Lonchura striata: one gene and its partners. Each later gene encodes a partner of the first gene's protein in a complex. Links are inferred from orthologs where the notes say so. Each region holds a gene or a part of one and is shown on either strand. Other genes may lie near its edges. The genes, in order: POLR1B, POLR1F, POLR1E and TAF1C.

Region 1 (7,264 bases):
GGATTTTCAGAGCAAAAGATATCTGTCTGGTCACATACAAGCTTACTTTTTCAATTTTCTTTTGTAGTTTTCTCTCTCTTTTTTTGTGAGTTCAAAATGCAGTGCTAAATAAGTATGTATTCAATTATACACAGCTAACATGCTACTGGGAAGACAGGGAAAAAGCTGCAGAAGACAACTGGGAATGGAAATGTCTCTTTCAATGCCTATTCTACAAATCTTTCCTCACAGTCCCCTTCACAGCACTCTCAGTTGCTGTGTAGCAGCTGAGAGGTTCTATAACAAAACTGTAGGTATTGACACCAAACAGATCCCTGTGTTCAAGAACAGCCATGGCTGCAACTTCTCAAGCTGCTTCATCAAGCCCCCATAAACAATCTGCTTTCAAGAGAAAATGGAAAGTCAAACTTGAAACAAAATATAAATGTTCAAGCCCTGCAAAGAGAAAGTGGCCTGACAGACTGCTCAGGTAAAACACAGACTTTCCTGACCCTCAAAATCCCCATTACCTCTTCTTCCTCACGATGCTGCATAAGGTCTTGTGGAGAAAAACCATAGAGGTTGCACAATTTGGACTTCACCATGATTGGAATATATCCTAGGGGCTGTTTGATAGTCCCTTGTGGCGTGTCATTCAATGACCAGCTGATGTCGGCCTAAAACAACACAACACCAACAGTAAGAAAGTAAAGTTGCCCTTTTAATATCTCCTGCTATATTAACTGCACCTTTCATACAACCACAAACAGTTGAACGGACTTGTATCACTGTAAAATGGTAACAATAATAAAAAAAGGAGCCAGTAGATACATGCATGAAGATTACACTCAGGGGAACAGTGAACATAGGTTTACAGAAGAAAATCATACAAGTCTAGAGTCAGGTAAAGAAGCTTCTGGGTGAGTAAACAAAGTTGGTCTAGCCTCCTTTGCCTTCCAGACCCTTCAGCAGAGCAGCCTAAATATAAACAAAACAAACAAAAGGCAGCCACAGGTAAGAAAAGTTCAGAAGGTTAACAGTTAAAAGTAGAAGACAGAAGTGTCGACTAAAAAGACATCCACACTACAGGCATGACAAAATCTTTCCTTTCTTCACCTAGCACATTTGTGAGTGATCTTAAAAGCAAGAAAGAAAAGCATGCAGGAAAAAAAAATTTATTAACAAGTTCTGGCAGTGGGTCTGCAGGAAGACTGTGGGAGCAAAGAATCCTAACTTTACATGCAGAATGATGGGCTTTGAAAGAGCTGCTGTCCTGCAGGAAAGAAACATTATTACTGCAACACAGGAACGTGAGTTCAGCATCTGGCAGCAGCAAACATGAATAACAGTCTCAGAAACTACTGGAAAAGGGAAGGGAAATGCTACTGTGCCTCTTTAAATCCACGGGGCAGCCTTACACAGGCACTGCTACAGCCTGGTCTACACCTGAAGTGATGACTAAGGGTCTACAGCTGCTCAGTAGACTGGGGCTCACATCCTACTCTGGGGCAGTGGGAACTGAGGGAGGGATATGGAGTTAAGGCAGCACAGTGGAAACAGGGAATGGTTACTGACTGTTTTCTGCTGTGCATGGGCAGGGAAGGGGAGATGTTAACCTCTCCCAGCACAAGATAATGCCTTTTCACTCAAGACACAGCAAACTGTTCTAACTGCTCCAAGCATTCAAAAAATAATTAGACAGACAATGAAAAAAAAAAAGGAAAATAATTCAGGTAAGAAAAATAAAACCAGCTGTAGCTCAGGAAAATCTAAGATCCACTGGGAATACAGCTATGAACAATCTGCACTGTCCCACTTTCATTTTCAGACAAGGTACTGCACTTAGAGTGACTTTCATCATGGCAAGGTATTCAGAGAAATTAAAGGCTGCAGAGAAATTAAAAAAACCAACACAAATGAAAGCAAGCAAAAAAGCTGAAGTTCCAAGCAAGCAGTCCCTTGCACCAGGTGCCTCACATATGCAATCAGTTCAGACACAAGTACATAATTTTAACAGAAAACAGCCACGTGCAATCCTTTCACACTGCAAAGGAAAATATTTGCTGGGGATGCTTCCTCTCCGCGCAAATTACAAAGCTTTTCACAAAAACCATGAACTTGTGAACAGGAGAGATTTATAGCTCTGGACTTCTGTATGGGACCAACGCTGCTTTTGAAACCTAGATTCCTGCAGAAACAAGATTTGGATTATGCTGCTCTCTGGGATGACACGGGTCTCCATCCAAGGACTTGCAAGCTAGCTGGCTGCTTGCAGGGAGAAACAGGAAAGAAGGGCAGCAGGGTCGGGACCGCGACAAGCTTGACGTGCGGGGGAAAAAGAGCGAGGCCGCACATCACCAACACCCCAGAGCCCACGGGGGCAGCGCTCCCTGAACCCCGCGGGAGATCGGAGAGCCGGGAAGGGCCTTTAAATCTACAGCGCAGGGGGATGGGAACACGCGTGTGCAGAGCTCTGCTGGGACAGGAACACGCGTGTGCGGGGATCAGCAGCCCCACAGGGCGGGGACACGCGTGTGCAGAGCTCTGCTGGGACAGGAACACGCGTGTGCGGGGATCAGCAGCCCCACAGGGCGGGGACACGCGTGTGCGGGGACACGCGGTGGGCGCGGGCACTTACGGTGATCCTGCCGCGGTAGGTGCTGCGGACCCCGCGGCACTCCGCTGGGAACACCCTCCTCTCCTGGCACACCGTCCCGGCCGGCACGGCGGGAGGGGTGATGGACACCCCGACCAGCGTCAGCGCCAGCCGGGTGTCCTTCAGCGCGAACTCCACCGAAGGCACCTCCTGCAATGGCACCGGGTTAGGGCGGCGGGGGCGGGAGCGGGCCCGGCGCCGCGCCCCCCGCCCCGCGCCCCCCGCACCTGCACGGCGCGATAGACGCCCTCGCTGACGGCGTAGTTGAAGGACTCGATGTGGGCGCTGGTGAGGTGGCGCTGGGCCGTGCCCCGCCGCGGCCGCCGCAGGCGGTGCGGGTCCGGGCGCGACCCCGTCCCGGCGCCCGCCATGCCGCGCGCTGCTCCTCACGGGAAGCGGCCCGCGGGAAGCGCCGCGTGCGCGCCTCGCGCCGCCTCCCGCGCGTGCGCGCCGCTTCCCGCCCGCTCCCGTCCCCGGAGCCCGCCCCGCCGCTCCGGCCCCCGCGCTGCGCTCCTCCCGACGCGCAGCCCCTGATCCCGGTCGCCCCGTGCATCCGTGTACGCCCCAGGAACGGGAGCCTGGCCACCCACCCATCCCCGTCACTCTCCGCCACTTCTTCCGCACGCCTGGAATTCCGAACAACCCCGCTGTTCCCCGGCTCCCACCGCTGCCGGGACAGCCCAGGGATTGAGGCCGGTTCCCGGGGTCCTGGGGCTTGGCACCGCAGGAACGCGCTGCCCCAAGGAAACACCAGAGGCGGTGGGGTTTGCATGTTTTAATGATGATTTAGGAGAGATGTGGACAGATGTGAGCTCACCGGAGAGCCGGGAGCTCAGGCATTCGCCAGCCCCACATGCACATGCTGGCGTGAGAACAGCTGGGCGCACGATCCCGAGCCCGCCGGGCGGCAGCGCCCCGCGTACCTCACACCGTCTCAACACCAGGGTTCCCCAGGGGCTGCCACAGCAGACACGGTCATGGAGCACGATTATGAACGGCACAGCCCTGCTCTCCGGGGGGAGAGCTGCGTGTGGAGAACAAGAAATGCTGCGAGCAGGGACATGCAAGCAGTCCTGAAGGGCACTGGTCACAGTCGCCTGGATGCAATCAGCGTTCGAGCCTTTCTTAGACTTCTCCGGCATTCTCCATGGACTGTGGGCAGCCACCAGATTTCAGCAGAAGCACAACATGACTAACTCGTATGGAACAAGCCACATGGGTGTTACCTGAAACCCAGAGTCCAGTGGGACCAGACCCTGCTGGACAACGCAGCCAGAACACCTGGGCCAGAAATTCTTCATGGATGACATGAAGGGATACAACTAAGACTAGAGACATTCTGTAGTATGGTAGGTGTCTTCTGGAAACCCAGAAGTATCCTGGGTAAAAGCTCAGGAAAGAGAGTAAGACCTTGTCTATTGACCTTTCAGCTGAAATAAACTAGAAAACATTTATTGTTGTATATTCCTAAAAAAAGAAACAAAAAAAAAAGTCTCACAGGGGCTTGTGAGCATCACTTGCAAGGTGCACCCATGGCTGCAATGCCAGGCCTCAGCCACATACACATCCTCTACTCCACCTCATAGCTAGTATTTTGGGCAAAACTTTAGGCACTGTGCTCTCTGTCCTTTATCATTTACCTTCTGTGCTTTACTTTGGGGGACACTTTGAGAGAAGGTGAAAAATACACATTTTACTCCAGAGAATGCTGCTTATTCCTGAAAAATTCAGCAGAGGATTCAAGTGTCCCTCAAACACTACCTCCCCCAAGCCCATCTGGAAAGGCAGAATAGCTGCATCATCTGTAGTTGTGGCTCTACTACCAAGCATTATCTAAATTTCCCTTTTGAGGGGAAGGATGGGTCTAGCACCCCAGAATATGAGGATTTCTTGGATTATTGTGATGGGGAAAATTTCCTGTTCTTGTCTGCCCTAGCATTTATGAGAGCTCAGCTGTCACTTCAGACACATCCTGGATGAAAGCAATTGCTGTGAGATCTTCCCACTGCAGAGCAGAAAACATGCAGTTTTTAAGCTCAGCTAAGCTAACATGAAAATGTCAGTGGAGATGTGGTGAACTTAATGAGTAACAACTCTTCACAGCCTACATTTTACCTCAGTGAGTTACCACCATTCTTCACCTGGACTGCAGTGAAGTTCTGACACCTCTGTGCGATCATAAAGTTAAAAACCCAACCAATCCTTCTCCCACATCCTTCTCCCTCCTTATCACCCAGCCCCTTCCTGTCAGGATTGTCTGCTGCATGAAGAACTCTGAAATCTCCATCACAAGCAGAGATGAGTACACCAAAATGCTAGGTTCTTCTGAGGAGGGCAGAAATTCCATTGCTTGATTCACTTCCCATTATACGCAGGCAACTTCTAATCTCCACAATGTCTTCTAGTTTGTTTGTTATGGGGAACAGGAACCTGTTTCTTTCCATGACCATCTCTCCCTCCCAGAGGGATGTGCTGGGCTCACACTGCAAATTCAGATACACTTCACAAGGGGAGAAACCTGACAGGCATTTAAGTTATACTTGAAGCAGATGCTAGCTCTGAAATACAGAGATCTCAAGAAATTTAACCCCTCCTTCCCCCCAGAGCACCTGATTTCCCAGATGTGTGGCAAACAGGAATGTCTCTCCTGGTCTACAAAATCTCACCCACCTTGCCCCTAGCTAAGATCAAGTTGTGGACTGTGTTCAGGGCAGAAGATTACAGTATTTGTCAAAGGGAGGAGAATAAAACCGGTTGGCTCAAATGGGATTAGGTAGAAATTTCAGGTTCAAGCCTCAAGTAAATCATGAAGGGAAAATCTGAGACAAGAGCCTAAGTTCACTGCAGTGCCTCAGAAGAAACTGGGATCAGGTTTCTGCTACTTGAAACACTCAGCACAAAAGTGATGCTAGAAATCCTACGGCCTGCTGGTGAGCTCCGAGGGGGTCTCTCTACCTCTTTTAAGCAGAATCCAACTGCCTCAGACTGGGACAGACACTGATTCAAATCTCAATAGGAAAAGGGATAGCTATAAATAAAGAAAATCACCTTTCTTGCCTGGGTTAATTCACCACCTGCAGTTCAGCACCCTTTTGCCAGCCATTGCCCAGGTGTTCAGCCAACCAGCTTGGAAAATGACCTAAGGAAACTGACTTCTTGGTGTTCCTGGTTTTAGGCACCAGGAGAGCTTGCTCCTTTCTATGTAACAGAGCAGGAACAAAGGAAAGGAGTCACCTATTTGGAGCCGAGCTAAGGCACTAATGATGCAGTAGGTGAGGAAAGAATAAACACAGCGGGAGGAGCACAACTCCACCGTTCTCTCCACTCAATTCCCTTAAAAAACCCAATGTTATCTCTATAGAAAAGGAGGAGCTAATACAGCATTACAGTATCCCTGCTGGGGTTTCATTTTAAGGTTGTTTTGTTGTACTCCCAGAGAGATTTGTTTCAGGTATCAAAGTCACAGAAGCTGTTTCTAAAGTGGATTTTGGTGAATGCAGGCAGAGTTATCTGAGCAGCTCTGGCTCATCACAGCTCTGTGAGGATGCCTGTTTTGTTGTTTTTCCCTGTGGTCTCCCGGAAAATATGAAGCCTGTCTCTATCACTTTTTGGCATGTTACTGAGATAAGCCACCGAACTGTGCTGACACGAGGGGTGCAGTCTCTCCCTGTTCACAGTGGTGGCAGTTGTGTCATCATCACAGCTTGATGAAGATTGATGATGACTGGTTCATCTTCTGCCCAGTGTCGCTGAGGGGGAAAACGCTGGAGATGGCTACATCCACAATTCCTTGGCAGAGCTCTGCATACAGCTTCCTAAGAAATGAGAGAGAGAGAATCAGATACCCAGGCAGGCCAAACCAGCAGAGGCCTGGCCAATTTTTATGGAGAAATCCATTTTCCCAGCAAGATCTACAAGATCCTATTCCCATTACAAGGAGTTTCAGGGTGGCAAATAGGAGGAGAGCAGTATCTCTTCCACCTCCTCCCTGTTTACACCAATATTTTCTTTTTCCATGGTGGTAATTCCCAATATTTCTCCCTTTCACAAAGAACCACAAAACCCATTATCTATGTTTACAGTCAGAGGCTGTGGACTCTCAGGCCCCAGACTTGAGTCTCCACAAATGCAAAGGAGCAGAAAACATCTCAGGGCTCCCTGTAGCAGCTTTCCAACTCAGGGAGTTGGGATTTACTGCTCCAGACATTGTTCACACAGGAATGTACCCCAGAGGGTCTGCTCTGATGCATTCCTGGTTTGATGAAATGCTGTGCTGGGGTGCAGCTGTACACATCAGCTTGTGACCAGGCACAGGGGCTTCACAGGACCCTCAGACATGTGGGATGCGTTTTACCATGGCACAGCTCATGCACAGCAGGATTAGGGAGAAGAGAGGTGTTTGAGTTAACAACAGCTTCATTTTCTGCTGGAGAAAACGCATGTGTGACGTTCCTAAATGTGCTGGCATCTGGGACGCATTTAGTACCAAACCTGTTTTTCCCAGGATTAACAATGTCTTTTAGTCCATGCCACTGGGGCTATGTGACAGTAAGATGGGATTTTTATTGCTTACAGCAGCCATTTTTTTTCCCTCTTTAAATCAGAGCTGTGTGATACAAGTGCTACAAA
Region 2 (7,887 bases), on another chromosome or scaffold:
GAATCAAAGTTTAATACTCTCAGGGTAATTTCTATTCTTACCACATAATAAATATTCTCTTCCAAATCTTAGGCTAAATTTCTTCTCTAAAGTGTCATATAGATCATTTGGTAGTTCCCCTTTTCTTGTGCTTCTTCATCCCCTAATTCATAACTACACATTGTGTTGTAAAGCTTTTTTGTTTTTTTTTTTTTAAGTAATTCACAAAAACACACAGCTAGTGGCCTATTCAGTCATATATGAGGCACATTGCACATTGCTGATTTTACTAAGCAATTACCCTACTCTAATTCAAACAAAAGTGATGTCCAAAAAATTAAAACAAACAAAAAAAAAAAAAAAAAAAAAGGAAAAAACCTCCACCAAAAAACACTAAATTACTCCCCCACCTTAACAGGTAGCTTGCAACCAAGAACACTGGAAAAAAAAAATTCTAAGACAAATATGGAAAGAATGCAGTTAAAAACCATGGAGGTTCTTATGTCCACAGAGGCACTGAAGACAAAATTGCTAACTTTCACTGTAACTTCACTGAAACGACACAGAGCATCCTTCCAGATTAAAAGAAGAAACAAACGAAAAATGCTATGAATTTGCCAGTAGGAGTTATATTATACATTAATCAAAACCATATTGAAAGAAAAACATTGCTCAGTAAATGACTTTTTTTCTTTTAAAACATGAATGAACTCTTCTGAAGACAAGATTTCTTTCAAGGTGCCCCATAAATTTACAGAGGCCTAAGGAGGAAGCAGACACATTTTCTTCTCTTTGAAATTCTCATGTTTCAGCAAGTCATATATTTGTCATTATACAATGCACATGCATGTGTTTGTGTGCAACTGTCAATGTAACCACTGTGTTCAGGACCCCTGGACTGTTTGCACTTGAAAAGCCTACGCACAAAGCTACTTTTGGACACCTGGATGCATTATTTTGAGCATGTATTATATATGTAATTGACAATTAATAGGTCAACACACTCGGATTTTTAAAGCTCAAGAAGCACCTAGTTTTACTTTTTCCAGAGAAAACTCCCATGGGAGTCCTAAAGAGCAGAAAGTTTAGTTTAAGACAAAATATATATATATATATAGTTATATATACAGCTATATACATACTTGTGTAAAAAATAAGAACACTGAAAGATTACAATCTAAGTGATTTTAATTGCATCTTAAAAAATGTATTGAATCAGTTAAAAAAATTCTCTATTAAGGCACTGTACCTGCTTTTAGTGAGTCCTCCTCGAATGAAGAACACCCCAGCTGTATCAGAATCCAAGTGCAACACTTGAAATTTCAGTTCATCCCCTATTTTTAACCCCAGCTCTTGCCACTGTACAATGGACATTTGTTCAGGCTTTGGGATAGATGCATTGAAGCATCCATGTATCAGGCAGCCAATGTGACTAGGGGCCACTTTGTTAATTATGCCCTAAAAAAGAAAAAAATAATGTCATGCAAGTCTATAGCAAAAATCAGCCCCTTCAATGCAAACCCTTTAAATATTTACCTTCCCATATGGAAAATTTTCAGTAAGAGTTTCAGTACAAGTTATGAAGCCAGTTTATCTAGCAATAAGTTAATGCTCCTTCATTAAAATCAAAGTTAGTTCTGTAAAGTCTTCATACAATTCCTCTGAAAATAGAACTAAACTGCAGGAGAGGAAGTCAAAACATTGGATTTAACTACAGTGAATACGTGAATAGAGTAGGTAACTCTTTTCTTTACACTACAGCGATCAACTTTGCTTTGAAGCCATTTTAAGTCTGATTTACTTGCCTAAAATGCTCTTCAAGCTGGCACAGAAGTACTTAGCAGCTGAAGATAGGGAAGACACATAAAAAGCTTCTAAATACTCCATTCAGTGGGTTTCTGACACATATGCATATGAAACCATATCCACCTTTGTTTCACCCATAGGATGAACGACAGACATCAAAAATTTTTCTATTATCCTCCTAGGAAGATGGCACATTCATCTTAAAACACAATTATAAAGACACCATCTGTGCTGCAAAAGGTATGGCACAACAATGAATGCGAGCCAACTCTTAACGTGCTTTACCCACAAGTGCTCAGCAAGGGTTTTGACAAGTTTAAAGCTGTTCTGTGAGCACACACCTCCTTTAGTGAAAGGCAGGCTAGCTCGATGTACTGGTCCTGTGCTTGGAGGAACCAAACTGGAGAGCATCCTAAACATTCCTATCACTATAACAAATGCACCTGTTTGAGAATTATCTGCTATTCAGAATGGAGCACCGGTACGATATACACGCTTATGATACACTATTAAACATGCAATGCTTATGACACAACCGTTTAGCAATATATAATTATACGGAAATTCAACAAACCTAGAGACGTGCAAAACAGAAAAACAACAATAAAAATTGTAGAACAAGCTAGTAATAAACTGCTATGAACTACTCATAAGTGGATAAGCTAACATAAACTATGTCTCCACGTAAGAGCCAGAGCACTTGATGAAGATAAGGCAAGTTTTGACCACTTAATAAAAAAAGCCCGTGCCGTAAGCATACCACCAGCTTCTTCCCTTTCTTGGGGCTGAAGATGATGAAGTCCGCCTCGACGTTCAGGTGGATGAACCCTTGGTCGTCGTAGATGTCGCCGAGCTCCCCCACCACTTTGATGTTGTCGTAAGCCACGGGCACACCCTGCAGGCTGCAAGGACAATGAGGAGGGGTCACCGTTAGCCGAGCCGAGCCGGGCCGGGCCGGGCCCGCCCCGCCGCCGCGCGGCCGCACCTCTCGGAGTAGCGCAGGAGCTCGGCGTCCAGCTGCGCGCGGATGCCGGAGCGCTTGCGGCCCAGGAAGCGCGGCGGCAGCGCCACGTGCCGCCGGCGCGGCCCCGCCACCAGGCACGAGTGGCGGCGCGCCAGCAGCGCGCGGGCCGCGCCGAACGACGGGGCGGCGGCGGGCGGCAGCGCCGGGGCGACGGGCGGCGGCGCCGGGGCGGCGGGCGGCTGCCGCGGCACGGCCATGCGCCACGGGCCCGCCGCGCCGCCTGATGCCGTCAGCCGCCTCCCTCCGCCGGCCGCGCCCGTGACGGAGTTCCGGGGGATGTGCTCGCCTCCGGAGGGGTGTTCCGTGCCGCAGAGCGGCGGCGGTGTTAAGTCTTTGCAGCCCGCTTGGCGTGTCGCCGGCACGGGCCGGTCAGAGCTGGAGGGAGCGGCGGGTCCGGCTCTCACGAGGGGAGCGCACCCGCGGCGCCCGGAGCCCCCCCGGAGCCCCGCGCGCCCCGGGGCGGGAGACGCGTCGCGGTGCCTTGTGAATGTACATTGGGCATTTGGCCATCCAGGCAAATGACACGGCGACGAATTGCCTTATTCTTCATATACAGCAGTTTTAAAATACAGAATTTGTAGTCTGTTGCCCCACCCCAGATCCAGTTTGTGTATATGGTGACAAATGTTTAAATTCATTTAATAACAGGACAACAAAATAAAGTACAAGTCCTCAAAAGGGTTGCTGGTGCACTCTACACTGCAATTACGTACAAAGTACTAGAACCTTTACAAACTGCAGTACTAGAACCTTGTCCAGTTACGAATGATGGAATTTGTGGCTGGTTAGTGAAGGCTTTGTCCAGAAAAGTAATTCAGACTTTATATCCACGCAAAGCGGCGCAGCAGGATTTTACTTTAAACTGATTCAACTGAACTAATGCAAAACGTTCAAAAGGTGTTCTCTCACTGATTTAAGTCTAATTTATATTGACTCGTTACAGTAAATGTACACTTTCAAACTGATTGAACCCACATGGGGAGTTACCAAAAAAAAAAAAAAAAAATTTGTCGGTTTCATTAAAGGTGTTAAAATTCCTTTTATACTGTGGAGGGCTCAGAAACACTTGTTTTGTGAAAACAAGCCTTACGTCAGATACCAGAAATCCTTGAACTCCCTATAAAACATTTAGTGATGCAAAAGCCTTTGAAACTACTCAAACACTACATCACCAGAAAGTTTTCTTTGACTGAACATACTGTGAAGACAGGACATTGTTAGCTTTCACAAGTAAAACAAATGGTATAATTTGCAGTACTTTACTGCAAGTAAAGTTGGATTAGTGTGAAAGACCTGACATAAAAATGGCTTTCAGATGTCATACCAAACTCCAAAATCGAAAGAGAAAATGTCTTGAACTACTTTAATCTGTATTCTTATGTGGCTTTAGTCCTCCAAGGTATTTAATGTCTGTTGAAATTAATTTCATGTTATATGGTCTCAGCTTTCTGGAAAAAATATTATATTTTTTATTTCAACTATTTGGATCATATTTAAACCTTGCAATGTGCTTTCAATCTTGGTTAAAGACCTTAAACTATAACTACATGCACTTCTATTCCTAAAAGAAATATATTTTTTATAACTCTTATTTATGGGTGGATTTAGTTTGCAGTGAGAACATATAATACACTAAGGGCTCTACTCAGTTTTATCCAGGATAATAAAAACCTACCTTTGCTCTTAAAATAAAAACTAATAATAAGATGGAAAAACAGCATGAACAAAAATGTGGACCTTTGTATTTCACCCCATAGTCAGGCTGGCTCGCCAAGATGGTGTCAGAAGGGCTCTGTCTCTCAGGGCCTGTGGCTCTCCAAGGTTATCCCCATGAACTTCTGTCACCAGAAAATTCCCTACAAGATTGAGTCTGTACTTTCTAATTGAATCTCCATTTCTCCTTGCTACCGTGCCTGGTTTTCATTGCACAGCGCTCTTGGGACTTCCAGATCTCCTTTCGGGCTAAAGCAATCAGGAGAATGAACTTTAAATCCTAATGGTCATTAAGTCTGTGTGGTAGGGCAGAAATAATTTAAAATAGTCTGTTTGAAATCCTTTAACTGTAAATACCTGGCCTCAGCAACAGCTGTTTTTCTCTGCAACTCCACACCTGTCAGGTGCCACTGCTTCCTGGTGCAGCATGGTCTGTCTGTACCAAAAGCTGTGTTGTGTTGCAGGCTTGTAGAGATTTCAGACTCATGGTATGACTTGAACTCACTACCTCTCTGTAAAAGATACTCTGATAAAAGAAGGAATCTCAATCCAAATGCCACCTCCTCCAGCCAGAGATCAGTTCTTAAAACCACCTGGACCATAAGACTTAAATGCTGATATCCCCACATTCATTTCTTGGCTTCTTTCTCTTCCCTGGTTGTATAACTTTTCTTGGTGTTAGCTTTCAGCTTAAGGAGTCTGTCTCGGCTGACCTTTCAGCAGCACTCCAGTGAGCCTGTGTCCAAAAAGGCAGCTAAAATCAATGTCTAAACCAGCACAGCTGTTGGTATGTTTGCCAAGTCCCAGACTGGCTGATAAGACAGTGCTGAGCCTGATTTTCTCTAGAGGTCAGGTTGCAAGTAACAATGGGGACCAAACCCAAAAGGTGCCTTTGCAGTCACTGCTGTTCTTTTTCTTCCTGTTTTATTTGGGTTAGTCTTGTTCTCTCTGTGAAAGGATGGCCAGATTCCAAAAAGGAGATTCCTTGAAAACAAAAAATTCAGCACCTCTCAACTGGTCTTTTCTATCCATACAGTCACTGCCATCTTGTATTCAGATTTCTGAATTGACAATGTATGTTGGGTGTAAAGTTCATCCAGTTGCTTATTGATGCTCTGTTGTGGCAGGTGCAACTCATTCATTCAGAGAGTGGCCCTCATCCAGCCTTAAAATCCTGGAAGTCTTGCAGAGTGGAAGAAAACCGATGGCAGTGTGCTGGAGTAGGAAATACACTCCCCGTTAGGACTGTGTTGCTGTAGGAATTTGTGCATTTTGAAATTTATTCCATCACATCCTTATCCCACAGCTTGTGCTCTATAAAAAGGATAAATTAAGAAATGCCTCAGCTGCATTAGTTAGATACAGTACAAAAATGGTGCTCTGGATTTTTTTTCAAATGTTTTAGCTGGCTTCTCCTTTTTCATTTTTAACCCTGCAGTATTTTTAATGACAGTTCTTGCTTTCATACTTAGAAGGAAGAATGAGTGCTCAAAACTCTCAGTTTTGTTTTTGAAGTTGCATGGTAATAGGCTTGCTTCAATATCTTTGACCTCATGACAAATGGAGACTAATGGCAGCATTTTTAGTCATTGAGAATGAAATATCTAAATGCCATTGAGAATTGTCAGCTTGTGGTTCTATATATGGAATTCTGATAGGAATTCTGTTTTGTGGAAGTTATTTTTGAAAGGGTGACCATTCAGTTACGTATAAAATCTATCAGTGCAAAGGGTTAGCTAAAGATAACAACAGTTACAGTAATAAAGGCTCATTTGACTGCAAATGTGAGAGGAATTAAGTTGTTACTGTCAGGCACACATTAATTTGAGCAAATACAGGATGATAAGATGAAACTGTCAATGGCCAAAGAAGGTAGATTCTCCTGACAGTGCATTCGGACTCTCTTTATTTGTACTTAAACAAAATGTACCAAGTGCTGAAAGTCCACCAGATGGCACACAAAAGCCTTGGTATGGGTAAGTGCTGTCATCCAAGAGAACGAGAGGAACTGCATGCCTGGCTGAAAATTTAATCTGTGTTACACTATGCAGACTCTTTGTTTTGTCAGCAATTAGTAGGTCAATCCCTAATAGCTAGGAAATGACTTTGAAAAACATTAAGGGAAAGAAATGCGATAAGACAGCAATTATGTTAATTTCTTTCAGCTAATAATTCATCTTGATTTGTAGTGACACTCATGATGTAAGGACAGGGAGCGGTTGGAGTGAGTCCTGGGGAGGGTCACGAAGATGATCAGAGAGCTGGAGCACCTCTCTGTGAAAACAGACAGAGAGTTGGGGTTGTTCAGGCTGTAGAGGAGAAGAATCCAGGGAGACCTTACAGCACCTTCCAGTATCTAAAGGGGACCTATAAGAGAGACATGAAGAGGGATTTTTACAAGGGCATGGAGTGGTGGGGCAAAGGAGGATTGGCTTCAAGCTGAAAAGGGGTGAGCTTAGATTGGATATGAGGAAGAAGTTCTTCCTTGTTAGGGTGAGCCACTGAAACCTGGTGCCCACGAAAGTTGTGAATGTCTCTTCCCTGGAAGTGTTCAAAGGCAGATTGGATGGGACTTTGAGCCAATGGAAGGAATCCCTCCCTGCAGCAGGAGGAGTTGGCACTAGACAATGTTTCAAGTCTCTTCCATCCAAGCAATTCTGTGATTCTGTTCTTGGGATGGACATCTTCGAACAGTTGGGGATTGACTAGATTTGCCTTTGGTCTAAAAGTAGGTTATTGCCTGCTGGGAAATGGCTGATATGGCTGGCAATCACTCTTGTGGAGGTAAAATATCTTGTCTATAAATATATTATTGAAATATTATATATTATATAATATTATACAGATATATGCAATATAAATATATAATATTTACTGAAATAAATATATTACTGAAAGATCTGTGTTCAAGTAGCTCACTGGCCTTCTATCTGTAGAAATAATGAGCCTGATGTAGGATGCCTGGTGCTGACTGTGGTGCCCCTCTCCAGCTCCACTGGTGATTGAAGGCATAGTTTCAATAGCACAGGCATTATGAGCTGTGGAGGTCTGGCTGTTTGTTGGTCTAATGCTGAAACTCTCCTGTATTGTTTCCAGCCAGTGAGTGAAATGTGTACAGGTAGTGGATTAAACAGTATGACAACGTGACCTTTCTCATAGAAACAAGAGGTGATGTTGCCACAGAAACAAGGGAGGAAAGCAGCCTGTGCCACTGTGAGAGCAGCGAGGCTTTTCTGCAGCACTGTGAATGGCTCTGATGAATGATGCTAACAAATGAGATGGATGCACAGGTTGTAAATGGGGTGAATGAAATGTCTCTTGACAATCTGTCTGTGCTATTTTGCAGTTTATATTCTGAGAAACTT
Region 3 (7,377 bases), on another chromosome or scaffold:
CACAGTGAAACACCCTGTGCACCCAGGGAACACAGACCCCAAATCCAACACCCTGAGCACCAGGGAACACAAACCCCAAATCCAACACCCTGTGCACCCAGGGAAATCCAACACCCTGTGCACCCAGGGAACACAAACCCCAAATCCAACACCCTGTGCACCAGGGAACACAAACCCCAAACCCACCTGCACAAGGCAGAAACACAAACTGAAACTCCCTGTGCACCCAGGGAACACAAACCCCAAACCCCAAATCCATCTGCACAAACAGAAACACACACTGAAACCTATGCACCCAGGGAACACAAACCCCAAACCCACCTGCACAAGGCAGGAACACACACTGAACACAAACCCTGCTGCTCCTCCCACACTTTAAACTCCTCCTGTGGCAGGACCCGCAGGTGCAGGGTGCGCTGCTCTGCGAGGGGCAGGAGGTCACTGGGCTGGTGACCAGCCTGCAATAACCAGGTAAACCAAGAAAATGAGGAAAATGCTCCTGAGCCAGGCAATGCTCATGCTGCCTCCTGGACACTGGGAAAATGCTGGCCCTGCACAGGTTCACCCTACAGGACAGCAAACCTCCCAGGCTGCAGACAAGCCCCTCACAGCTGGACAGTCACAGCAGAGCAGGACACAGCTCCAACCTTACCTTCTCCCTGTAGGATTTCTTCTGATACTCCTTTGTGTCGTCAGGTATCATGTTATCTACAAAACAGCAAGAGTCAGTTTGCTTGCACAGAAGAAGCAGGACAGGAATTCCTTTGGCTCTGTGACCGACAGACTGGGCACAGGACCTGCTCCATGTCCCCTGGCTCAGTAAAGGACATGACAAATATGAGAACCTAGGAAAAAAGGCTTCTTCTTCAAAGCCTTACATGCAATATATGGACTATGGCCCAGCCCACGTCCTGCTGCTCAGGGTAAAAATCAGCCACAATAGATGTGACCCTTTGGGCAATGACAAAAAGCAGCCCTGCTGGATAAAACCTGTGGGTTTTTGGTTTTATTTTGTTATTCAGGGGTGCAATTCCTGCTGAGGGTCAGGCTCCCTCAGCAGAAGGCTCCCAGAGAAGGCAGCACCTGAGCAGTGAGGCTCTGTGAGTGCCTCCCCGCCTGTAGAGTCCCTGCTGAGCCCCCAGCCGTGCTCCCCCTCCCAGGCTGTGCAGGAGCTGTCCCTGTCCCTGCCATGGGCACCAGGACACAGCCCCGGGCTGCCAGCACCTCCCACCTGAGAGCAGGGGCTGCATGTTGAATATTTCAGCATTGTAGACCTCCATCTGCCCAGAGCTCCTGTCCAGCACGCCAACAAAGTACCTGGGGAGAACAGGGCACTGATCAGCGAGAGGCAGAGAGCAGAAATCATTTCAATGTCATGGTTGTCTCACAGCCCAGCAGCTCTCCTGCCTTGCACACACAGCACTACAATAAGCCAAGGCTCCTCCATGGCATGTGTGCACACAACAACAGAAGAACTGATACTCTAAGTAAGTGCAGAAGTCCTAAAAACAACTGAATTCGGTACAGTGTAGGTGCCAGAATTCTGCTTTTTTCTCTTAAAGTGTAGGTGCCAACATTCTGCTGTTTCCTTTTCCCTTTCTTTTTGCTAGGCAGGACTCGATGGCCATAGCTTGAACAACAGCTGAATTTCCAAATTTCCTCCCAGAGCTCATGATCCTCAGAGCTGCAGGCAAGCAGCCCAGCAGCCCCCAGACCACTGGCTCACCAGTGTGAGGCCCGTGTGCTGCTTTGCTAGCCCCAGCAGTGCTCTGCTAGCCCCGAGCAGTGCTCTGCTAGCCCCGAGCAGTGCTAGCAGTGCTCTGCTAGCCCCGAGCAGTGCTCTGCTATCCCTGAGCAGTGCTCTGCTATCCCCGAGCAGTGCTCTGCTATCCCTGAGCAGTGCTCTGCTATCCCCGAGCAGTGCTCTGCTATCCCTGAGCAGTGCTCTGCTAGCCCCCCCCAGTGCTCTGCTATCCCCGAGCAGTGCTCTGCTAACCCCGAGCAGTGCTCTGCTATCCCTGAGCAGTGCTCTGCTATCCCCCCCCAGTGCTCTGCTAGCCCCACCCAGTGCTCTGCTATCCCCGAGCACTGCTCTGCTAGCCCCACCCAGTGCTCTGCTATCCCTGAGCAGTGCTCTGCTAGCCCCACCCAGTGCTCTGCTAGCCCCCCCCCAGTGCTCTGCTATCCCCGAGCACTGCTCTGCTAGCCCCACCCAGTGCTCTGCTAGCCCCCCCCCAGTGCTCTGCTATCCCCGAGCAGTGCTCTGCTAGCCCCACCCAGTGCTCTGCTAGCCCCCAGCGGTGCTCTGCTAGCACCATGTGCTGCTCTGCTAGCCCCCAGCGGTGCTCTGCTAGCCCCCAGCAGTGCTCTGCTAGCCCCGTGCTCCTCACCTGCACAGGGAGCTGCACTTCGTCCCGTCGGTGCCGAAGTTGTGCCCCACGTAGCAGAGCCGCTCCGTCTCCGAGACCTGGGAAAGTGGGAGAGACCCCTGGAGAGGGCTGAGGGACACCAGGAGAGCTCCTGGGGAACCCAGAGACACCAGGATGGTTCACACCCCCCGCTCTGAGCCCGTTATCCGCCCCTGCCCCGCCGTGTGCCACTCCCGCTCCATCCCGCACCCCGGTACTCCGGTACCGCGGGTGCCGGGCGCTTACCAGGATCCTGTGGTGCTTCTTCCGCGGGTGCGTCGCCTCCCGGTGCCGGTACGCGGCGAAGCGCAGCGAGTCGGGCCGCTCCAGCCGGCCGTTGGCGAACCGCACTAAGGGAGAGGAAAGCCCGTGAGGCGTGGGGCCGCCGCCACCCCCGGGGCCGCTGCCACTCCCGGGACCCGCCGCTACTCGCGGGGCCGCTCACCGAGCGCCGCCGGCAGCTCCGGCTCGGGGTCCCCGCGGTAGCGCCAGATGGCGGTGGCGGTGGCCATGGTGAGGGCTGGGCCTGGCTGGGCCGGGCTGGGCCGGGGACGCCGCTCGGTGCCGGTGCCGATGCCGCTCCTCCGCCTCTTCCGCTGGTGCTTCCGGTCGCGGCAATAAGCCCAGTCCCCATTGGGTGAGGTGAGGCTCCACCGCCGCCTGGAAGTAACGGGGCCGCCGGTTGGCTGCCGGCGCGGCGCGCGCCGCCCGCGGCCGGAAGTGACGTAGGGTGTCGGCGCGGCGGGGCGGGAGCGGGGCCGGGGCCGAGCCCAGGCCCGATCCCGATCCCGGTCCCGATCCCGAGCCTCGCACCGCCCGTCCCGCACCGCCCTTCCCGCACGGACACCGCAGGTGAGCGCGGCGGCGGGGGGCGGACACCGCGGAGCCCAGCGCCGGGCGACACCGTGGCTCTCCGGTGTCCCCGGTGCGGCCGTGCGCGGCACGGAGCGCAGTGCCCGCTGCGCGGTCCCCGCTGCTGGTGCAGCGCGGCGGGGCAGGTGCTCCTCTGGGAGGGGCACGCATGCTGGCTGGTCCCGGTGGTGCGTAAGGGAAAAACGGGGAAATAACGGGGAGAAAACGGGGGAATGGGGCAGTGTCTCGGGAAGAGCAGCTCCCGGCAGGAGAACCCAGTCATCGCAGGTCGGGTGACGTTCCGGACTCTCAGAGGCTCTAAATCACTTCATTTTCCCGTGCTGAACAGTGCAGGTGATGCCAGGTGAACGATCTGCCGTTGTGACTCCCTCCGAGGACACGCTGGGATTCCGGGGAGAGCCCCCGGCCAGCACCGGCAGCGGTGGCAGGGAGCAGAGAGCAGCAAACAGCTCCGTGTTTGAGGACGGACCTTGCTGTGCACCCTCCTCAAAGTGTGATCCCGGCCGTGTGCCCTTTCTTTCAGGCTGCACTGGGGTCTGGCTGTGTTGTGCTCTTTCCTTCAGGCTGCTCTGGGGTCTGGCTGTGTTGGGCCCTTCTGGCTGTGCTGGGCTCTGGCTGCATTGTGCCCTTTCCTTCTGGCTGTGCTGGGGTCCCGTGCCCGTCAGTGCTGCTGCAGAATAATGTGAGCTCAGGAACTGCTGTGTGTGTGCCTGGGGAGTGCTCACCGAGCCTTACACGGCACGGGGAGAAATGGAGATACTCTGAGGGTCACCTCCGTGGTCCTGAGGTTGATCTGCAGGACAGGTCTGATGTTAGGTGGTGAGGACTGGGGAGAAGCCAGCCCCGGCTGCTGGCTGCTTGGCTGGCTGGGCAGTGCCGTGTTTTTCTGGGGAAGGTTGCCCAGGTGTGCTAGCAGTGTGTCAGAGGGACAGCAGGTCGTTTCGATCAGTTTCACCAACCAGAAGCGACTGTTTCACAGTAGGTGTGGGTGTGAGGAGACCCACGCAGTCTGGGCTCCAGCACAGCTGCCTGTGTGTGGCTGGTGCTGAGCTCAGGCTCGTGGTGTTGTCACTGCTCCTTCTTGTCCTCCCGACCTGCCTTTGGTGCTGTGCCCATGTGCTGGTGGGACACTCAGGGCTGTTTGTCTGTCTGTCTGTCAGCTGTCAGCTCTTGTCCTAGCTGCCAGGTTGGCTGCAGCCCGGCCAGGAGTTCAGCCGTAGGATCACACAGCAGCTTGGCTTGGGAGGGCACCTTGTCTTCTTCCACCCCAGCCAGGGCAGGGACACCTCCCACTGTCCCAGCTGCTCCAGTCCCAGTGTCCAGCCTGGCCTGGGCACTGCCAGGGATCCAGGGGCAGCCACAACTGTGCCAGGGCCTGCCCACCCTGCCAGGGAACAGTTCCATCTTGTGCTGCTGTTTTTCAGTTTGAACCCAGTCCCTGTTCTCCTTCACTGCAGACTCCCATGAATAGTCTTGTAGCCCCTTCAGGCCTGGAAGGCCGTGGTGAGGCCGCCCTGCAGGCTGCACAATCCCAGTTCAGCCATGCTCTGCTTGCAGCAGAGCTGCTCCCCCGGCCAGCCCGGCGGCCCACACAGCGGTTCTCTTGTGTTTTTGCAGGACCATGGATTTCCCTGGGCACTTTGAGCAGGTCTTCCAGCAGCTGAACTACCAGCGGCTGCACGGGCAGCTGTGCGACTGCGTGATCGTGGTGGGCAACCGGCACTTCAAGGCGCACCGCTCGGTGCTGGCCGCCTGCAGCACGCACTTCCGCGCGCTCTTCACCGTGGCCGAGGGCGACCAGAGCATGAACATGATCCAGCTGGACAGCGAGGTGGTGACGGCCGAGGCCTTCGCCGCGCTCATCGACATGATGTACACGTCCACGCTGATGCTGGGCGAGAGCAACGTGATGGACGTGCTGCTGGCCGCCTCGCACCTGCACCTCAACTCGGTGGTCAAGGCCTGCAAGCACTACCTGACGACGCGGACGCTGCCGCTGTCGCCGCCCAGCGAGCCCGCGCAGGAGCAGAGCGCGCGGCTGCAGCGCTCCTTCATGCTGCAGCAGCTGGGGCTCAGCATCGTCAGCTCGGCGCTGGGCTCCTCGCAGGGCGCCGAGGAGCCGCCCGGCGCGCTGGGCGCGGCGCTGCGCGGCGGGCTGGAGCAGCGCGCCGCCTTCCCCATGCGCCGCCTGCACAAGCGCAAGCAGTCCTCCGAGGAGCGCGCCCGCCAGCGCGTCCGCCCCGCCATGGACGAGCCCGTGGCCGACGTGGCCGCTGAGAGCGGGCAGCCCAGCGTGCACTCCCGGGAGGATTTCTTCTCTCCGGACTCGCTCAAGATCGTGGACAACTCCAAGGCCGACGCGGTTGCCGATAACCAGGAGGACAACACGATCATGTTCGACCAGTCCTTCGGCGCTCAGGAGGACGCCCAGGTGCCCAGCCAGTCGGACAATGGTGAGGGGAACATCTCCCAGATGTCTATGGCGTCCCAGGCCACGCAGGTGGAGACCAGCTACGACCAGGAGGCTGCTGCTGAGAAGAGCAACTTCCCGTGCGAAAACCCCGAGGTCAGTCTGAACGAGAAGGAGCACATGAGGGTGGTGGTGAAGTCTGAGCCCCTGAGCTCCCCGGAGCCCCAGGACGAGGTGAGCGATGTCACCTCGCAGGCGGAGGGCAGCGAGTCGGTGGAGGTGGAAGGAGGAGTGGTGAGCGCAGAGAAGATCGAGCTGAGTCCCGAGAGCAGCGACCGCAGCTTCTCGGACCCGCAGTCCAGCACCGACAGGGTGGGGGACATCCACATCATGGAGGTGTCCAACAACCTGGAACACAAGTCTTCTTTCAGCATTTCCAACTTTCTGAATAAAAGCAGGGGAAGTGGCTTTGGCGCCAGCCAAAGCAACGACGACAACATTCCCAACACCACCAGCGACTGCAGGATGGACAGTGACGCCCCTTACCTGATGAGCCCGGAGTCGGGGCCCGCCGGCAGCCACTCGTCCGCCGCCGTGTCGCACGTGGAGAACCCGTTCAGTGAGCCCACAGACTCCCACTTCGTGCGGCCCATGCAGGATGTGATGGGTCTGCCATGCGTGCAGAGCTCCGGCTACCGAGCGGCGGAGCAGTTCGGCATGGATTTCCCACGCTCCGGCCTGGGCCTGCACTCGCTGTCTCGGGCCATGATGGGTTCTGTGAGAGGCGGAGCCGGTGGCTTCCCCGGCTACCGCCGCATCGCCCCCAAGATGCCCGTGGTGACCTCGGTGCGGAGCTCGCAGCTGCAGGAGAGCTCCTCGGGGTCGCAGCTGATGATGAACGGCGGCAGTTCCTTCGAGGGCGGGCACCTGTCGCAGCCAGGCCCGCCGCAGCTGACGCGCGCCTCCGCTGACGTGCTGTCCAAGTGCAAGAAGGCCCTGTCGGAGCACAACGTGCTGGTGGTGGAGGGTGCGCGCAAGTACGCCTGCAAGATCTGCTGCAAGACCTTCCTGACGCTGACGGACTGCAAGAAGCACATCCGCGTGCACACGGGGGAGAAGCCCTACGCCTGCCTCAAGTGCGGCAAGCGCTTCAGCCAGTCCAGCCACCTCTACAAACACTCCAAGACCACCTGCCTTAGGTGGCAGAGCAGCAACCTGCCCAGCAGTTTGCTGTGAGCCCGGCAGGCAGGCGGGCGGGCGCACACCGGCGTGCCACGGTGCCAAACATAGTCTTGGCTCTGCCATTGGGGATATCCGGTACCTACCTCGCGGGTGTCGCCGCCGGGAGCCGCGCGGCGGGATGGGGATGCGACCCCCACGGCCAAGAGCCCCTTTGCAGGGCAGAGGGGCGACAGCACGGGGGTCTCCTGAAATAGCACGGTTTGAGAACAAGAAACTGACGTGCGCTTTCCTTTCTTTTTGTCTTCTCTCTAAAGCGTTTTGTAACAGTGGAAGCATTTAAATGATTACTGTAACATGAGTTGCTGCATTACCTGAGGATGGAGCTGCAGACCCCTTACCTTTCAAAGAGGAAAACAGCTTAGGCTGCACCTGTCTGACATAATGCTTTAAAATACGCTACTTACGACGATAGTTCTAGGATTATGAATGTATGTTTGGCTGTTT
Region 4 (7,960 bases), on another chromosome or scaffold:
CATTTTTCTCTAGAGACACAGCAAGAATGAGATACCCCTTTTCACAAGCTGCTGGAAAGGAGGAGGCCAGCAGAGGGTAGGCTGGGAGCAGGTCTGTGCCCAGGAAGACTCATCCAGCATAAAGTGGGATAGCTGAGAAGAGGGTCTGCTTTGCACCACATGTTCTTGGTGAGGAGTGTGCGCATGTGCTTGCATGCACGTGTGTTTGTGCTGCGTGTGTGCATCCCCAGTAGGCTGTACACTGACATGCATCTGCTCCCTTGTCTGGAACAAAGGCAGCTCCCCCTCCCCTTCGCTCCCAGCCGGCACAAGCCAGACATGAAACACCTGCCTCCTCAATGCAAGAGCATCCGATACCAATTTCTCCACCAGGAACGACCTGGTCATTCCACAGCCCCACGTGGGGACAGTGACCTGGCGCGGGACTTCAGGGAGGGTGTTGAACACAACTCCAGAAGGGGAACTGGGGGAAGGACCCGGAGCTACCCAGTCCCCACACAGGCCCCCCATCCAGGCTCTTTCATCCAGGGCAATGTGAGGGAACTGGTTGCATGCAGAGGGTCAGACTGATGTGGCATGGTAGTGCAGCCAGAGCATGGGAACGGTGCTGGAGGATGGAACGGGACTGCTATCCACGGAAGCAGAGTGGATGGAAAGAGAAAAGCCAAAGCCCCTCTGCTTCAGGCCGGCCAGCGGCCTGAGCCGCAGGACCCCAGCCCCGCTGCTACAGCCTCAGGTCTCGGCCACGGTCAGCACTGCGGACAGCTCCGCGGCCGGCGGTCAGCACCGCGCACAGCTCCCGCTGCCGCCCCCCCCGCTGCACCCTAGCACCGGCAGCCCCCGGCCAGCTTCCCCCCTTCCCCCTCGAAGCCCCTAAGTAACCTTCCGCACCCCGTTCACCAAGCCATCTCCTTGCCCCATATCCTGCTCCTGGTCTTATACTGCCGTTGATGTATCCCACGCACATCCTGACGCCCCGCTGGACACACACCCCCGTTTCTGCAGGCTGTCCATCTCCGCTGCTCCCCTGCACGCACACAGCCTTCTGCCCTGCATCTGCAACTCCCCGGGCCCACTCATTGCCCACGCACACGCCTCCCTCCCAGGGTGTTCCACTGCCTGTGCACTGCCTGCATCCTCCTCGCACGCACAACTCTGCACCCCACTGCTCATCTGTCTCCATGCCTCACTGCATGGGTACACCGTGCCCCACTGCACGCACATCCATGCATCCCATTCCACAGACATCCAGTACCCTCTACACAGGCATCCCTGTACCCCATTATGCAAACACCCCCCTGCAGACGCATCTCTGCACCCATCGCACCCACCTCATGTCCCAGTGTAGATGTACCCTGTGCCCCATGGCACCCCACACCCAACTGGGGACAGCTCTGTACTCTGCAGCATATCTGCCCCAAAGCCCACCGCATAATGGCCCCATCCCTTGTGCCACACTCACCGTGTCCCGTCACAGGTGCACCCCACATCCCAGGATGCCATCCCCCCATAGCTGCGTCCTTATGCTCCATCTCACCCACACCCTGCCCCACTGCATGCAAACCTCACATCCCATTGCTCATGTAGCTCATCCCAAGCTACACAGGTACCCACTCCAAGCTCACCCCCTGTGCCGCACCACATGGACCCCCGCAGCCCACACCTGCAGCCCTTCTCCCCACCGCATCTCACCCACTCCCTGCCCCGCAGCAGGCACACTCCGCATCCCATTGTTCGTGTACTTCACACCCATCCCAAGTTCATCCCTCTGCCCCACGGCTCCTCACGGAGCCCTGTGACTCACCTCCAGCCTTCCTGCCCACCGCGCACACTCCCGCGCTCCATTCTCACCTGGCCCACCCCACTGTGTGCACACCCCACATCCCATTGCTCGTGTACCTCACGCCCACCCTACACGTTCATCCCGCTGCCCCCGGCACGCTGTCCTGTGCTCCTCCGCACGGACCCCCGCACCGCGTGCCTGCAGCCCCCCTGCCCACCGCACACACCCCCGTGCTCCAATCCCACCCGCCCCGCTGCGCGCACCCCCCACACCCCGAGGCTCCCGTACCTCACACCCATCCCAAGCTCGTCATCCCTTGCGTCCCGCCGCACGAACCACCGCTCTCCGCTCCACCACCTCTCCCACCCACCGCACACACCTCCTCCGCGGTACCGCCTCGCCCCCGCCGCGCCGGCACCCTCGACGTGCGCTCCCGCACGCCGTCCCGCGCTCGCCCCGCCGCCCCACGCCCGCGCCCCCCGCCCCGGTCTCCCGGCGGCGCTCACCGGCGGCGGGCGGCGGCAGGAGCAGGAGCGGCAGGAGCAGCAGCGGCAGCGGCAGCGGGAGGCGCTGCCCGCCGCTCCCGCCGCCCCGCCGGGCCATCGCCGCCGCCGCCGCCGCCGCCGCCGCGGCTGCCGTGGGGCGCGCGCCTCCGGCCGCCCCGCCGCGCACCGGCGGCCCTGACGTCATCCGCCCCGCCCACCGGGACAGCCTCCCTCGTCGCCATTGGCCTCCGGGCACGTCAATCACCGGCGGGCGCGCCACGCCCCGCCCGTTCCGAGAGACAATTCCTCCCCTCCGATCCCCTCGGGATGGACCCGGCGCTGACCGGGGCACTAGGGGACAGCGACACGAGCGGGAATGGAGATGGGAAGCTGCGGGAAAGGGGCACCGCGTGGAACCCGAGATATGGGCCGGGAACTGGGGCACAGGGCTGGGCACAGGGACATGGCGCTGTAACGGAGATAGGAGCCGGGAACGGGGGCACAGGGCAGAGACACCGTCTGGAGCAGGGACACGGGCTGAGACCAGGAACAAGGCGCTGAGGGCAGGAACATGGTGCTGTAACTGAGATACGGGCCGGTAATGGGGTCACAGGGCTGGGGGCAGGGACATGTCTCTGGAACTGAGACATGGCCAGGAAGGGGTCACAGGGCTTGGGACAGGGACATGGTGCTGTGACAAGGATATAGGCCGGGAACAGAGATATGGGGCTGAGGGACAGGAACATGGGGCTGCAAACAGAAACATAGGTTAGGGGAGAGGGACAGAAACAATGACTGAGGACAGTGATGTGGGTCTAGGGGATAGGGATACGGGTCTGGGGACAGGAATATGTCCTGGGCACAGAAATATGTCCTGGGTACAAAAATATATAATGGAGAGGGACATGGAGTTGCTGGCATGCCCTGGAATTAAGGAAACGGATGGAAGGCAGCGAGGGCTACCTATGGAGCTGGAGGTGGTGGGGCTATCTACCCCACAGAGGGCTGTGTAGGGGGGTCAGGTGGTTTTCTATCAGTGGTTACCACCTTCTAAAAGCAAATTGTAGCATGTATCTTAGAGAGGAGGTGTCCCACAGAGGGGGTCTGGGCACCAGACTCAGGGATGCAGGATCCTCAGACTGCAGGGATGAGGCCATCTTGACTGGAAACAATCTCATCATGCTTTCCCAAAGTCCCCCAACATCATCCCCAGACTCTCCTGACATCACCATCCTCCTTGGCCATAATGGAGAAAGCAGGTTACTACTCATGGGCATGCTCCTCTCCCATCCTATGCTCCACACAGGGCACCCTGGGAGCTGAAGCAGGAGCAGCCACCCCACCATGTCCCTAGCCTGACTGCCCAGCAACCCTCCCCAGAGCACAGACCCCCATGCAGGCATGGCTGGAGGTTCCCTCCCCAATGCAGACCTCACCAGCACAGCTCCGGGGCCAGTGGCCTCTGACACAGGGAGGTAAAAGGACAGTTGTCCCTCAATGAGAAAGCTGGTCATGCTCTCCTTGGGAAATGGACTGGGGAACTTGTCTCCCTGCCAGATACTCTCCAAAAGCTCCAGGATCCCATCAGAACCCCATGGGACTAACATGAACTCTGTGTGGGTTCCCATGGGAGCTTGGTGGGTCCCTCGTGGGGAGCCAACAACCACCTTGTGGGGAGGAAGGAGCACAGAGCTGGGGTGGGAGTGGGTTCACCAAGGCCAAGCAGGTGTGAGGAAGGGCAAGGTGGGATTGGGAACTGGCATATCCACAACCTTCCAGGAGCTGACCTTCAACTCCACAGCCCTCAGATATCTGAGACTGTCCCATGGCCCCATACACTCCGCTGGAGTGTGGGGTGCCCCATGGCCACACAGCCGGGGCCACGGAAAAACAGGTGTGCCTCTGGCAGGTCTCACAGGGGGGTTTCACTGCTCTCGAGGCGGGCAGAGGGAAACAATGCCCGTACTCCTGCCCGTGCCCCGGCGGGGTCCTGACCCAATAATTCTCCTGTGCCTGTCCTGCCCCGGCCCTATCACACTATTCCCTGTGCCTGCCCGGTCCTGCCCCAGTTCCACCGCTTCCCCTACCCATCCCGTCCTGTTTCCATCTCATCCCACCATTTCCCTCCGCCCGTTCCCGTCCCGGTCTTACCACTTCGCTTTGCCCTTTCCCGAATGGGTCCCACCTCTTCTCCCGCCTGTTCCCGTTCCCGTCCCGTTCCCATCCCAGTCCTACTGCTTCCTTCTCTCTCTCCCGTTCCCATCCCAGCCGCACTGCTTCCCTCTCCCTCTACCGTTCCCGTCCCGTTCCCATCCCAGTCCCACCGCTTCTTTCTCCCTCTCCCGTTCCCTTTCCTGTTCCTGATCCCATCCCAGTCCCACCGCTCCTCTCTCCCTCTCCCGTTCCCGTTCCTGTTCCCAATCCCGGTCACACCCGTCCCCGCTCGTTCCCGGTTCCCGTCCCGCTGCCGGCCGTACGTTTTTACCCTCCGGCCGCCAGGGGGCGGTGGCGCCCCACATGGCTGTACCGCCGTCGGCGCTCTGTCCCGCGCTGTTCCCGGGCCGCTGATTGGTGAGCGGCGGCAGCAGCGCGCGGTGACGTCAGTGGCGGTGGCCGCGCCATCCCCGCCGGTGGCGGGAGCGGCGGCCCGGCCGCGTGCTGCCGCCTGTGCCCAGTGCCGCGGCCATGGAGTTCCCGGCCGCGCTCTTCCCCTCCTACTTCTGCGCCGGCCCGCCGCGGGAAGAGGGCGGCCCCGCACCGGCCGCCGGCTGGGGCGAGCACGGGCAGGTGCTGGAGGGTGGCCCCGGCCGCCGCCAGGTGAGCCCCTGCCGGGGGTCCCGGCGGGCCGAGGGAACGGGCAGGACGCTCATGGGCCGCTCTGACTCTCCTCCTTCGCTCCCCGCAGGTGCAGCCGGCGTTCGTGCCCCGCCGCGGCGCGACGGGCGAAAGGTGGGAAGCCGCCGACGCTGCGGCCGTGCCGGTGCTGCTGCCCAGAGCGGGTGAGAGCCGCGGGAGCAGGAGGGAGCTCTCTGCACGGGGGCTGGGGGAAACATGCCTCCCACGTCTATCGCTGCCGCTGCCCCGCAGTGCTGAGCGGTGACCCTGTGCTCGTGTGATGCCAAGCCACCTCTGCCTTCTCCCCACAGGCTGCTGGATCCCCTCGCCTGCACCTCAGGACATCCTGTACCGCAGCAGCCTGTGCAGGAAGCTCCGGATAGGCAAGTCTGGAGCCACTCTGGACTTTGCCAGGCAGGTGGGATTTGAGGCATTGCATCCTGGCAAGGAGCTATTTGGCAAGGACCTTTGCATGCACTGACCCTTTCTCCTTCTGCCCACACAGCTGGGCCATTTCTTTGTGGATCACCCAGAAGATGCTTTTGGCTCCCTGGGGCGTCTGCTGCACAAGAACTTCTATCTGGGAAACGCCAAGCTGAAGGTCACTGTCTGTCCAGGAGTAACAGTGCTGCTCCCCTCCTTTCCCCTTGCCAGTCTCAATCTCTGCTCCCTACTCCTGTAGAGACCAGCCCGGAATAGCACCATCCGGATGACAGCCCTGTTGGAAGACATTGACCGCCTGGAGGCCCGACGGTGAGTGTCCCTCTGTCCCCTGCCCTGCAGCAGTCTAGGGGAGTTCCTGCTCTGTCCCCCAACCTGATGCTGTCTATGCCCTGCAGCGGCTGCCCCCGGCAGCACTTGGCCTCCCGCCTGCGCTGGTTCTCCCACCTCTGTCGTGACTGGCTCTTCGAGGTGCCGCTGGGACTGCTGGCAGACTGCCTGCATGAGGAGCTGACGCAGCAGTGGTCCAACCTGCTCTTTGACGACAGCCTCACTGGGGGGGCACTGGCCTGGTTGCCCCCTGAAGACGGGGGGACAACCAGGGGCTGCCTGGTGTACCCTGGAGGGCAGGCTATGAACCACCTCTGTATCCTTGCCCATGGGATGACCCTGGGGAGGGAAGTGGGGGTTGTGTTGCACCACCCTTAGCCAGCATCCCAGATTTCCAGGATGTGGTGCTGGAGGGGCTGCCCCACACCCGAGGCTCCCCAGTGCAGTTTGAGCTCAGCGGGCGCATCCGGCAAGTGGCTGCAGCCCGTGTGGATGGGCAAGGTGAGCCAGCCCCAGCATCCACATCTCAAAGCAGACAAGATGTAGGGAGGAGGGGCAGCAGGGCACTCCTGGGATGTTGCCAGATTACATGCCAACTCCTTCCCCCTGACAGATTTTGTTGGGGTTCGCTCAGACTATCACTGTGGTGTTTGGAGGGTGCCGGGCAAGACAGGGGCAGCTCCTGCCCCACTACAAGTGATCCGCACCGATGTGCCTGCCTCCTGCCTCACTGTCAGGTGGGTGCTGGAGGAAAGGATTGTGCGTGGGGGGTGCTCTGCTGGCACAGCCCTGCTCTGTGTGGTGAGTTCTGTTGCACAATGATGATGCTGTGTCCCCTGTCCTGCAGCCCTCACCTTCCCGGGGAGCTGTCTGTCTGCACCCAGAGCGGGACTGTCTACCTCTGGAGCGTAGAGACCGGGTGAGATAGGGCATTCAGGGCTGTCTAGGGACACATGCAGACAGTGGAGTCTCGGGGGGTGGGAGGCCCAAGTGACTGGGGCAGCCCTACCCTGTGCCAATACTACTGTCTCCCCACAGGCTGCAGAAGCTCCGCCATGACTCCCAGACCATGTTTTTTCGGGACCATTCACCCTGGCGCTGGAGTGACTTCACAGCTCACCCACGAGTGCTCAGCTGTGCTGACCGCACAGGCCTGCAGTGCCTGGATGCCCGGGTGAACTTGGGAGGGTGGGTGTGTTGCTTGGAGCAGGCAGGGAAGAGGGTTCCACAGCCCAGAGTGCTGACTGCACCCTGTTCTACTGTTTCAGGCCCCCAAGAGATGCCACTTCGACTTGTTCAAGGTGGGCGAGGAAGCTGGCTGTCAGCAGGGCGAGCGTGTGGTGCTGCCCATGTACCTGGGTAGGGCTCACCCCTCACAGTACCTTGTCACCACCCAGGTGAGTCCCACCACAGCTGGGAGCTGGGGAAGACACGACACACAGTTGTGTCTCCCAGTGCTTATGGGGCATGAGGATTTTCCAGTGAGGGGAGCTGCCACAGTGCGTTGAGGTGTGTCCTGTCTGACCCAAGACTTCTGTCTTAGTTCTCCGTGTATGTGCTGGACGAGCGGTTGCCACTGGTGCCTGTTCTGAAGTGGCCACATATGATGAAGGCCCCTCCACTCTTTGCACACCTGATGCCAGGGAAGCCCGAGAGGAGCCACAGGGTGCTGCTCGGTGCGTCCCGCACCCAGGAGCTGTTGCTGTTGCAATACCGTGGTAGGAAATCAAGCTCCAGAGCCAGGGCTGCTCTGTACCCATGTCCTAGCTGCTGGGATCAGCTGCTGTTCTGGCACCTGTGCTAAACAGACGGTATTTGGGGTGTTTCCTCAGGGGGCAGCCAGTCGGCCTGTCAGCTGGCTGGGACTCCGCAGAAGCTGCACAATATTGCAGGGTGCCTGCAGCACCTGCCCACCCAGCTCCCACACCGCCACCACCTGCTCCAGCAGCGCCTGTCAGCTCCAGCAGCAGGTGAGTGTCCCACTCTGCCCCAGGCTGCAGGTCCTGGTGAGGGAGAAGGTGGAACAGAGTGAAGTGTAGCCTTTGTCATGGCCTGGCTGGAGCGTGGCTGAAAAACCAAAAGCAAA

The links.
Region 2: POLR1B (region 1) and POLR1F share a complex: the UniProt entries of both Homo sapiens proteins name them as parts of the RNA polymerase I (Pol I) complex. The link is inferred for Lonchura striata from reciprocal best matches to the Homo sapiens genes POLR1B and POLR1F.
Region 3: the proteins of POLR1B (region 1) and POLR1E are in contact, whole or in part, in a cryo-EM structure (PDB 8A43), measured with the Homo sapiens proteins. The link is inferred for Lonchura striata from reciprocal best matches to the Homo sapiens genes POLR1B and POLR1E. Residues at the interface, in NP_061887.2 of Homo sapiens: Lys254, Ser258, Phe259, Ser260, Tyr262, Gln263, Gln266, Ser295, Thr296, Gln297, Ser338, Thr340, Glu341, Ala532, Cys535, Pro541, Ile542, Asp543, Gly544; in NP_071935.1 of Homo sapiens: Gln27, Ser29, Asn30, Gly31, Tyr69, Thr76, Leu79, Lys80, Cys81, Leu84, Cys85, Met109, Gln110, Pro111, Leu112, Phe113.
Region 4: POLR1B (region 1) and TAF1C share a complex: the UniProt entries of both Homo sapiens proteins name them as parts of the pol I pre-initiation complex. The link is inferred for Lonchura striata from reciprocal best matches to the Homo sapiens genes POLR1B and TAF1C.

The regions. Positions count from the first base shown.
Region 1 is NC_134605.1:18,959,173-18,966,436, forward strand, and holds the start of POLR1B (DNA-directed RNA polymerase I subunit RPA2), read right to left. Parts: upstream 3,007-7,264; coding exon 2,863-3,006; intron 2,786-2,862; coding exon 2,618-2,785; intron 657-2,617; coding exon 510-656; intron 1-509. Other genes in the region: TTL (tubulin--tyrosine ligase), read right to left, coding at 6,333-6,450. UniProt on the Homo sapiens protein: Catalytic core component of RNA polymerase I (Pol I), a DNA-dependent RNA polymerase which synthesizes ribosomal RNA precursors using the four ribonucleoside triphosphates as substrates.
Region 2 is NC_134603.1:126,368,767-126,376,653, reverse strand, and holds the start of POLR1F (DNA-directed RNA polymerase I subunit RPA43), read right to left. Parts: upstream 3,007-7,887; coding exon 2,771-3,006; intron 2,688-2,770; coding exon 2,546-2,687; intron 1,438-2,545; coding exon 1,229-1,437; intron 1-1,228. UniProt on the Homo sapiens protein: Component of RNA polymerase I (Pol I), a DNA-dependent RNA polymerase which synthesizes ribosomal RNA precursors using the four ribonucleoside triphosphates as substrates.
Region 3 is NC_134642.1:86,297,284-86,304,660, forward strand, and holds the start of POLR1E (DNA-directed RNA polymerase I subunit RPA49), read right to left. Parts: upstream 3,013-7,377; 5' UTR 2,921-3,012; coding exon 2,854-2,920; intron 2,759-2,853; coding exon 2,655-2,758; intron 2,468-2,654; coding exon 2,391-2,467; intron 1,318-2,390; coding exon 1,232-1,317; intron 709-1,231; coding exon 653-708; intron 1-652. Other genes in the region: ZBTB5 (zinc finger and BTB domain-containing protein 5), read left to right, coding at 4,903-6,927. UniProt on the Homo sapiens protein: Component of RNA polymerase I (Pol I), a DNA-dependent RNA polymerase which synthesizes ribosomal RNA precursors using the four ribonucleoside triphosphates as substrates.
Region 4 is NC_134642.1:39,697,901-39,705,860, reverse strand, and holds the start of TAF1C (TATA box-binding protein-associated factor RNA polymerase I subunit C), read left to right. Parts: upstream 1-4,953; coding exon 4,954-5,085; intron 5,086-5,173; coding exon 5,174-5,267; intron 5,268-5,414; coding exon 5,415-5,521; intron 5,522-5,608; coding exon 5,609-5,704; intron 5,705-5,785; coding exon 5,786-5,856; intron 5,857-5,942; coding exon 5,943-6,190; intron 6,191-6,264; coding exon 6,265-6,375; intron 6,376-6,487; coding exon 6,488-6,611; intron 6,612-6,721; coding exon 6,722-6,793; intron 6,794-6,912; coding exon 6,913-7,048; intron 7,049-7,142; coding exon 7,143-7,271; intron 7,272-7,417; coding exon 7,418-7,592; intron 7,593-7,706; coding exon 7,707-7,844; intron 7,845-7,960. Other genes in the region: TMEM8B (transmembrane protein 8B), read right to left, coding at 36-510. UniProt on the Homo sapiens protein: Component of the transcription factor SL1/TIF-IB complex, which is involved in the assembly of the PIC (pre-initiation complex) during RNA polymerase I-dependent transcription.